2 linked regions of the Rhinolophus ferrumequinum genome follow. The protein of the gene in region 1 binds, or shares a complex with, the protein of each later gene. Links are inferred from orthologs where the notes say so. Each region holds a gene or a part of one and is shown on either strand. Other genes may lie near its edges. The genes, in order: KCNJ4 and TAX1BP3.

The links.
Region 2: the proteins of KCNJ4 (region 1) and TAX1BP3 are in contact, whole or in part, in a crystal structure (PDB 3GJ9), measured with the Homo sapiens proteins. The link is inferred for Rhinolophus ferrumequinum from reciprocal best matches to the Homo sapiens genes KCNJ4 and TAX1BP3. Residues at the interface, in NP_004972.1 of Homo sapiens: Arg440, Arg441, Glu442, Ser443, Ala444, Ile445; in NP_055419.1 of Homo sapiens: Leu27, Ile28, Leu29, Gly30, Phe31, Ser32, Ile33, Gly34, Gly35, Asp38, Gln39, Gln43, Asn44, Thr58, Arg59, His90, Asp91, Arg94, Leu97, Thr98.

What each region holds. Positions count from the first base shown.
Region 1 is NC_046293.1:8,669,033-8,672,931, forward strand, and holds the start of KCNJ4 (inward rectifier potassium channel 4), read left to right. Parts: upstream 1-1,678; 5' UTR 1,679-1,915; intron 1,916-3,899. UniProt on the Homo sapiens protein: Inward rectifier potassium channels are characterized by a greater tendency to allow potassium to flow into the cell rather than out of it.
Region 2 is NC_046304.1:14,817,969-14,821,867, forward strand, and holds the start of TAX1BP3 (tax1-binding protein 3), read left to right. Parts: upstream 1-1,447; 5' UTR 1,448-1,584; coding exon 1,585-1,623; intron 1,624-3,899. Other genes in the region: EMC6 (ER membrane protein complex subunit 6), read right to left, coding at 629-961. UniProt on the Homo sapiens protein: May regulate a number of protein-protein interactions by competing for PDZ domain binding sites. Binds CTNNB1 and may thereby act as an inhibitor of the Wnt signaling pathway. Competes with LIN7A for KCNJ4 binding, and thereby promotes KCNJ4 internalization.

The sequences.
Region 1 (3,899 bases):
GTGGGGAGGGTCTCGGGGGAAGGGAAGCAGTCATGTGGTTTGTGTGTCGTAGTACCTGTGCCAGTCACATCTTTGGGGGATAAACTTGAAGGAGCTGGAGGAAACTTAATATTCAGGAAGTTCTCAATCCGACTTCGGGGTGCCTCAGTCTCTCCCTGTCTTAACTGGGGTTATTCAGAGATCTTCAGCCTCCCCAGGAAGTTCTGGCTCTCTATCTGAAGGTGTTCTCTCATCCGACCACCCTGGAGCAGGAGCACTTTCCCACCTGTTTCCTCAGAAGGTTGGAGTGAGGTGGCAGAATGGCCACGGAAGTGACTGGCTCGCCAGAGGCTGTGGGGTGCTGGAGATTTCTCCCCACAATCCAGAGTGCGGGGCCCAGACCTGGGGCACAGTTAGGGCTGCAGATGAAGGGCACCATCCTCCCTAATAAAGACACTTTGGAGTAATGGGAACGCACAGAACAAGAGACGGGGGTTTGGTCCGGATGCCACCTCTGAGTGACCTTGGGCAAGTTTGTGACCCTTTGGTTCTCCGGCTCCCGGTCTGTAAAATGGGGCGGTGCTGCCTAAGTGATTGTGAGGGTCCCTCTAGCAGAGCCACCTCCGCGGGGATGCGTAGGGTCCTAAACTGCAGGTACTTCAGGAGGGAAAGGGGACCGCTCACGGGAGTGGCCCAGCGCCAGAGAACCCAGTACGGACCCTCTCCCACCCACCGCCTTCCTAGCACGAGGAACCCTTTCCACCTGCCCCGGGGGGGGGGGGGGGAAGGGGGGGCTTGAAAACCCGGCGGCGGCTTTTTGGAATGGGTTCTGGGAGGAGCGCTTCTGGAGGTAGGAGGGAAAACCCTGGCAGGATCTGTGGCAGGAGCGGGCCCATGCAGCCCCCAGGCCCTGGCCCTGCCCCGCGAGGCGAGCGGGTGGGAATGGGTTTGCTGTCCGGCTAGGCAGAGGGGAAGGGGCGGGGCCGGGCCCCGCAGGCAGCCGGGGGCTCCCGGGGTGGGGGGGCTCCGCAGCGGGGCGCCGCGGGTCACGTGTGAGGAGGGGCGAAAGTCTCGCAAAGCGGGGCGGCGTGCGGCGAGTTGGGAGTTCTCGGCGCGCCGCGGGCGTCGGGAGCTCGGGCTCCCGGGCGAGCCGGGGACGCGGCAGCGGCTGGGGCCTGGGTCCCAGACAGTGGGGGCCGCACCGAGAGGGCAAAGGCGAGAGGGACAGAGGACAGACCGGGCGGGAGACGGAGACGCGCAGGGAAGAGATAGGGCAGAGGCTGAGGGAGGCAGAGGAGAGACTGGGAGGGAGACCGAGGCGAAGACAGAGACCATAGCGGGGGAGACAGCGAGAGCGAGGGAGGCAGGAGAGACCAGTCGAGAGACAGAGACCGGAGAGGGGCAGAGACCCGAGGGCAAGCGGGGCGGGGAAGGTGGCCGCAGAGCCCGCGCGGGGCGGCTCGGGGCCGGAGGCGAGCGCAGCCGGGCAGGGCGCGCAGCTCAGGGCGGGGGACAGCGCCGAGTGACAGCGAGAGAACAGTGGGGGGGCGGCGGAGGAAAGGCGCCTGCGGCGGAGGCGAGGGGCGCGAGCGCGGGCGGCGAGCGCCATGGGCCGCCGGAGCCCCGCGCTCTGAGCCCGGGCCCGGGGCCCGACGATGCTGACGCTCAGGCGGCGCCGAGGGCGCGGCGCCGGGCAGTGCTGAAAGTTGGACGGCCGCTGGGTAGCGGCGCGGGACGGCGCGGAGGCGCGGAGACCCGGAGACCCACGGACAGACCCACCGGCAGCCGGGGAGGGGGGCGCGGCCGGTCCGGGGGGCTGGCGAGGAGCGAGCGCCCGGACTCCCCTCTCCCGCGGGGACGCCGCCCGCCTGACCGCGCCGTGGGATGTAGTGCCGTCTCGCCGCCTCCAGGACACTCGTCGGACCTTTGCCCCGCGGTAAGCTCGGCCCTCGCCCACCGCTGGCGCTGTCTGTCGGTCTGTCCCGCCGCGTGCGTGTCTGTGTGTCCTGGACCGGCTGCTTTGGCCCCGCCCGCTCAGCGCCTTATCCCTGACCCGGGTTCCTGCGACTTCTCAGAAGCTGGCGAGCTCTGTCCGTCTGTCAGTCCGGAGAAACGAGGTCTAGGTTGATGCCAGGAAGGAGGGAGAGGAGGGTGGAACTGGCCTTGACCTCCTGCCCCGGCCACGACCTTTCCCTATCTCCACCCACCCCCGGTTGTCACACTGGGTTTCCGAGGAGCTTCAAGGCAGGTGACTCTTGGCAAAAGGGGGAGGGGCTCTCCTTTCCACCTCCCCAGCTGCAGCCCGTTTGCAAATGGCCCTGCCACCTGAGAACAATCCCACTGCCTACCTGAAACTAATTGTTTTAAAAATTCCCACTTCTCACGTCTTGAGCAGCTACTTTGGGCCAGGTGACCCCGGGGTAAGGGGACAAGGGATCCAGTAAATAAGGCATGTCATCTCAGAGTGGTAGACACAGGCTGTGGGGAGGGGGAGAACCCCAGTGAAAGAGAGGTCTGGATGAACCCTGGAGGAGGGAAACTTCCCCAACAACGTGCTGAGTGTCCCCCCACCAGCATCAGCACACACTTCTGCCCCAGTGCCCAGGCTCAGGGTGGGGAGAGGGTGCAGGGACATGGCAGACAGGAGTGTGGTGGAGGGACTGGAGGTTGGGCAGCCTGGCCAAGTTGGCAGCTGAGGCCTCAGGAGCAGTAGGATTGTGGGGACAGGAAGCTGAGGGAGAGAGGCCAACGGCCACACAGGTGAGGCCGAGAGAGGAACCAGACCCTGTGTCCGTGCGTGTGTGTGCATGCGTGTGTGTGCGCGCGTGTGCGTGTGTAAGATGTCTATTCTGCTTCTCCCCACATCCAGTTGCACGACCTCCTGAGCTTTGGGATTTTGGGGGGCTGTTGCCACGATGTTGGGGGCCCGAGAGCCGCACTGTGACCCTGGCTTGGCCTAGGATGAGGAGAGCAAAAGGCGGAAGGAAGCAGTGGGATAAGGGCTGGAGTGCAACGTGGCCACTGGCCTTTGAGCTGACCCACATCCAAACTGGAGCCTGGAGGGCTGAGCCTAGAACATTCCACTCTGTTCTCCATGGGGAGGAGGGGCTCTTTCTGGGGTTTTCCGCCCTGGGCAGTGGTCCTCATATATACTCCATTTGGGCTCCCAGAAATCAGCTTAGCTATCTGAGGATCCAGCACCCAGGGCGAGTCACTCGCTCCCTGACACTCAGTTTCCATATCTATGGGAAGGACACCCTTCCTCGCCCCACTGACCTCCGAGTGCCCCCCGCCCCCACCACCCAGGCTCAAGGGAGCTGAGTGAGGGCTGTTCACAGGCTGGGGAAAGTGCTGGGCAGATGGGAGTATGGACTCATTTTACCTTTGGGATGATGCAAAGGTAAAATGGGAGGTGAGAATATGGCTTGAAATAGAGGGCTGACCAAGGAGAGGAGTGTCCAGGAATTAGAAGGGGGATCTGGGGCTTGGGAGCTAGTTGTTAGGAATGCTTGGGTTACCCTTGAAAAGGAAGTTCCTCATCTAGAAAAAGCCTCGGGGTGACTGGGAACAGACAGAGCTGGCCTTGTGTTTCTGCTAAGTGACCTTGGGTAGCTGGCTTGACCTTTCTGAGCCTCAGTTTCTTCGACTGGAGAATGGGATGATGGTACTGACTTCCTTGAATTGCTCAGGGATTTGCAGACTATGCCAGGTCCCTGAAAGCAGCTTGCCCAAGCCTGGAGCATAGTAGGTTCTTAACAGACTTTTGTGGAGCAGAGAATAAGTGACTCTAGGTGCTGTGAAAAGATTTCTTAGCTTAGGCTAAGAGGGAAGGGGAGGAGGAACAGTGTAGGCTTACAGGGCGGGCTCCTTCTTAATGTGGATCTGGGGGAGGCGGGGGCGAGAGCTGAGGGGGGTGTGAG
Region 2 (3,899 bases), on another chromosome or scaffold:
TCATACCAGAAAGCAATGGTTAATGGGAGGGAAGGCTGGACTCTGAAAAGGTACACTCAGCCAATATAGCCAGAGCAATTAAGAGACCTGAATTTGAATCCTGGCTCTGCCTTTTCCGCGCTGTGCCTCCTCTGCAGCCTTAGGTTCACCAATAGGGGACAATAATCACATTGATTCCATTCCGTAAGGATATTGCTAGAATTCAGTGAGTTAATGGGTGTAAAAGGTACAAGGCACAATGCCTGGCTTATAGGGCACACTTAATAAATATGAGCTGTTATTAGTTCTTAGGATGTTAATAAGTCTCTCCGTATTTACGCCCTAGTGCAAATGCAAGGAAATTACAAGGCTCAGTCCCAGCTCTCCAGGAGTCAAAACTTGGCGACTTTGCACCCACGATAGACAGGGGGTATGCGTTAAGGTAGGAAAAAACTCCGTAAAGTGTCTCACGCTTCATTTAATCTGAAGAATATTACAGGCTCTTCGTCTTCAGATATAAGTTACTGATAACGTTACAGAACAAGCAGCGAATTCAACAATTTAAAAACTAAGTAAGTCTACACGTCGTTAATTTCTGGCAACAGTCTTCCCAATCTGTTTTTTTTAAAAAGTCATCCCTGCCCCCATTTCAGTAGACGTGCACCATGCCGTAGAGGAATGTCCAGAACAGGACGTAGGTGAAGAGGCCTCCGACGAGACCTCCTGTAAAGAGAGGTCTTCGTGATTTAAAATATTTGTTCCACCTCCTTCCCGCTTTGAGAATTAAGAGCAGGGAGAGCAGGATGGAGGCAAGCAGGTAGAAGATGAAGCCGTAGAGGCCGGTGAGGCCGAGGATTCCGGCCGTGGCCCCCGACAGCGCTGACACTGAGGTCCGGCAGTAATCCAGGACCGCGGCGTTGCCCCGCACAGCTGCCTCGCTGATGAACGGCGGCCCTTCCCGCTTGGCCACCACAGCGGCCATCGCACCCGCCGGGGCTCAGCTTCTGCTTTCTCGCGGAGCTGCGGAGAAACCTAAGTTACAAGTAGTGCCTGGAGCTTGGAGAGTTAGGTTCACGCCGCCCCTCCCCCTGGGGCTTCCAAATCCTCGCACCACTCCTGGGTCTCGAACCTTCAAAAGACGCTGAGAAGAAGGCTGAGGGCCCGCGCAAGCCCAGGGTGGGTGGGAGCGGCAGCACGCCTGCATTCCCCGCCCAGGCTCGCCCGGTTACCTGGAACACAGCGATGGACACAGTCACTTGGCGTTCCCTCAGACAGACAGGGATGGAGATTCCCGCGGCGCCATCTTGCTCTGGAGGCTGCTGGGAGGGCCCAGGCTGTGCATGCGCCAAGACCTCGCTTCCGCCCTCTAGCGCATGCGCCGCTGGAGCCTCAAGCACGCTCCACCCCTCTGCCCGCTTTACTACGCACGCACAGGGACTTCCGAAAGCCGAACAGCGCTCCAGCGGTTGATTGGCTGGGGATTTGTTAACTATTCATGAGGGGGCGGGTCGAACCGGGCGGCCTTTGTTAACCAGAGGGCGCGGCCGCCGGGATTTTCGCGGAGGGCTTCGCTGAGCGGTATTTGGTTGCCAGATTGGGGTCGCGATGTCCTACATCCCGGGCCAGCCGGTCACTGCCGTGGTGGTGAGTACGCTCGCGCGGGCTCCTCCTCGTCTTGGCTTGCTCCCACTTTGCAGAGCGGTAAACTGACACCCCAAACAGGTTGACAAAGCGTCGAACCGGGGTCTTCTGCAGACCCCGCGGGCAGGGCTCCAGTCCGCGGTACTACCGCGGTCTCCCCAGCCATGCAACAGAAGGCTGGGACCAAGAGCCTCCTGAGACCCTGGACCGAGGCCAGACTCCGTGCACTGCCGCGTTGGACTCTTTTCAGCCAGTCGGGGCGGGGAACACCGAGGAGAAAGGCGCGGTTGTAGGAGTCTGGGAAAACGCCCAGGGCTTTCCTGGGCCTGTGATCCCAGCTGGGCAGCCGCGGGGGGCGGGCGCCGGCCAGGACATCCGTGAGTTGTGGCCTCTGGAATGAGGAAGTGCTTCCTCTACTCCAGTCCGTGCCGCCGCCCTGGGGGAGATTTGAGGAGGGAGATTTGAGGAGGTGGCCGTCGCCAGAGTCGCAGCCCCTTACCCCTCCCCCGTCCAGCCTTTCTTCCTCGGACTCACTCCTCGCCCGGTCCAGAGTGAAGAAGGCTCACAAAGGTGGCTCAGTCTTGCTCGGAACTTTCCCTGTATCCCTAGCCCTTGGGATAAAGTCCAGGTCCCCTGCCTGGCATTTGGGGCCTGAGGTGACCCTTTGGGACCCCTGCCCTCCCCGCCCCGCCCTTGGCTTGTCTTGGGTGTCAGGTGCTATTAGAAGAATCAAAGGGACAAGAGGAAGCTGGGACAGGAGACCCAGACGCCAGTGCCACAGCTGAATGGGGCCTGGAGGCCAGGTCCGCTGTTGGAGGTGGGGAAAGTGAATCCCAGAGAGATCTGGTCTTGGCCAGCCATGTAAAGAAGCCCTCAGGAAGAACCCAGATCTCTAAGAAATGCCTGCTGGGCAGGCAGTGGATCAGGTGGAAGTCCCAGCGGAGGAGTCATGGGACTGGCCGCGTTATCTCGGATGGGTGTGCTGGGAGCTCAAGCAGTCAGCTGGTGGGGTGTGACGCCAGTGATAAGGCTGGCATGTGAGGGTGAGCTTAGCATCCTAGGTCAGGCCTGGGCTAGGCGGAAACATTGCTGGACTTGCTGACAGGTCCTAAGTGTCCCCCTGGCTGCACCAGCCTCACATTTCCACAGCCCTAACTGCCCCAGAGAGAAGGGGCCAGGTTTGCTCCTTAGCTGGATAAAAAGGGGTACAGGTGAGGAGCCAGACAGGGGGCAGTAACCTGCCTGACCTCACCCAACAAGTCAGTGACAGGTGAGTGTCTCCCAGCCCAAGGGCCCAAACTCTTTCTGACCTTAAAGGTGGGTATGTGTTGGAAGAGGTGGAGCAGGCCTGGAGGAGCTCAATGTTTGGGCTTGAAGACCTAGGTCCAGTGGGCCTCGGGCCATGCGTCCTGCCCCCCCCCCCCCCCCCCCGCTTGTGTTATGGCTGGTCCCTGGGCCTTCCTCTAAGCTGTAGGACCATGACCTCCCAACACATGCCTGAACATGGGCGGTGGGTCTGGCCTCTCCCTCGTGTCTTGGACTGGGGAGGAGGTGGGGAAGCCTTATTCCCTGGCCCCCGCCCTCTCCCATGTAGTTAACACCTTGAGAATGTTTTACTATTTTGGCCTCTCTGAACTCTGGCTCCATGGGCCCGTCTGCCTTCTGGATACCTGCCTGGATGGCTCCTGGCACTCAAACTCAACATGGCCTTCTCCTCCAGGGTCTCCATTGGAGAGATGGTTGTGTTCAGCCAGGCCAGGTGGCCAAATGCGGCCATTGACTCCTCTGCCATGAGCAGTCCCCAAGTCTGTTGATTTCACTTTTCAAATAGCTCATGTCCTCATCTCTGCATCCCATCTCTGAGAGAGGTCTTCTCCCCTACTGACTGCCTGAGTGGTCATTCTGACATCAAGCCTGACCATGACCAGCCCTGCTCCCCAACTCCTGAGAGCTCCAGTGGGTCCAGAGTCAAGGTCCGGTGTCCAAAAACCTGGTCACCTCCTCAAGGCCTGGTGTGAATGATCCCTTCTTTGCGAAGCCCCTCAGGTCCAGATCAAGTCACTTTTTGCTTTTTTTCTTCTCGTTAAAACGCTCAACTTTTGGGGTGGGTGATCTGGTCTGGTTCCCAGTATCTGGTGACTGGAACATGCCTGCTGAGGGTTTTGAAAGGAACCTGGCACAGTTGGGGACCAGAGTCCCAGAGCATGGTGGGAGAACCCTGGGACTCTTCTGCCTCCTACACTGCACACGAGCAGGACCTGGGGCTTAGGGAGAAGCCC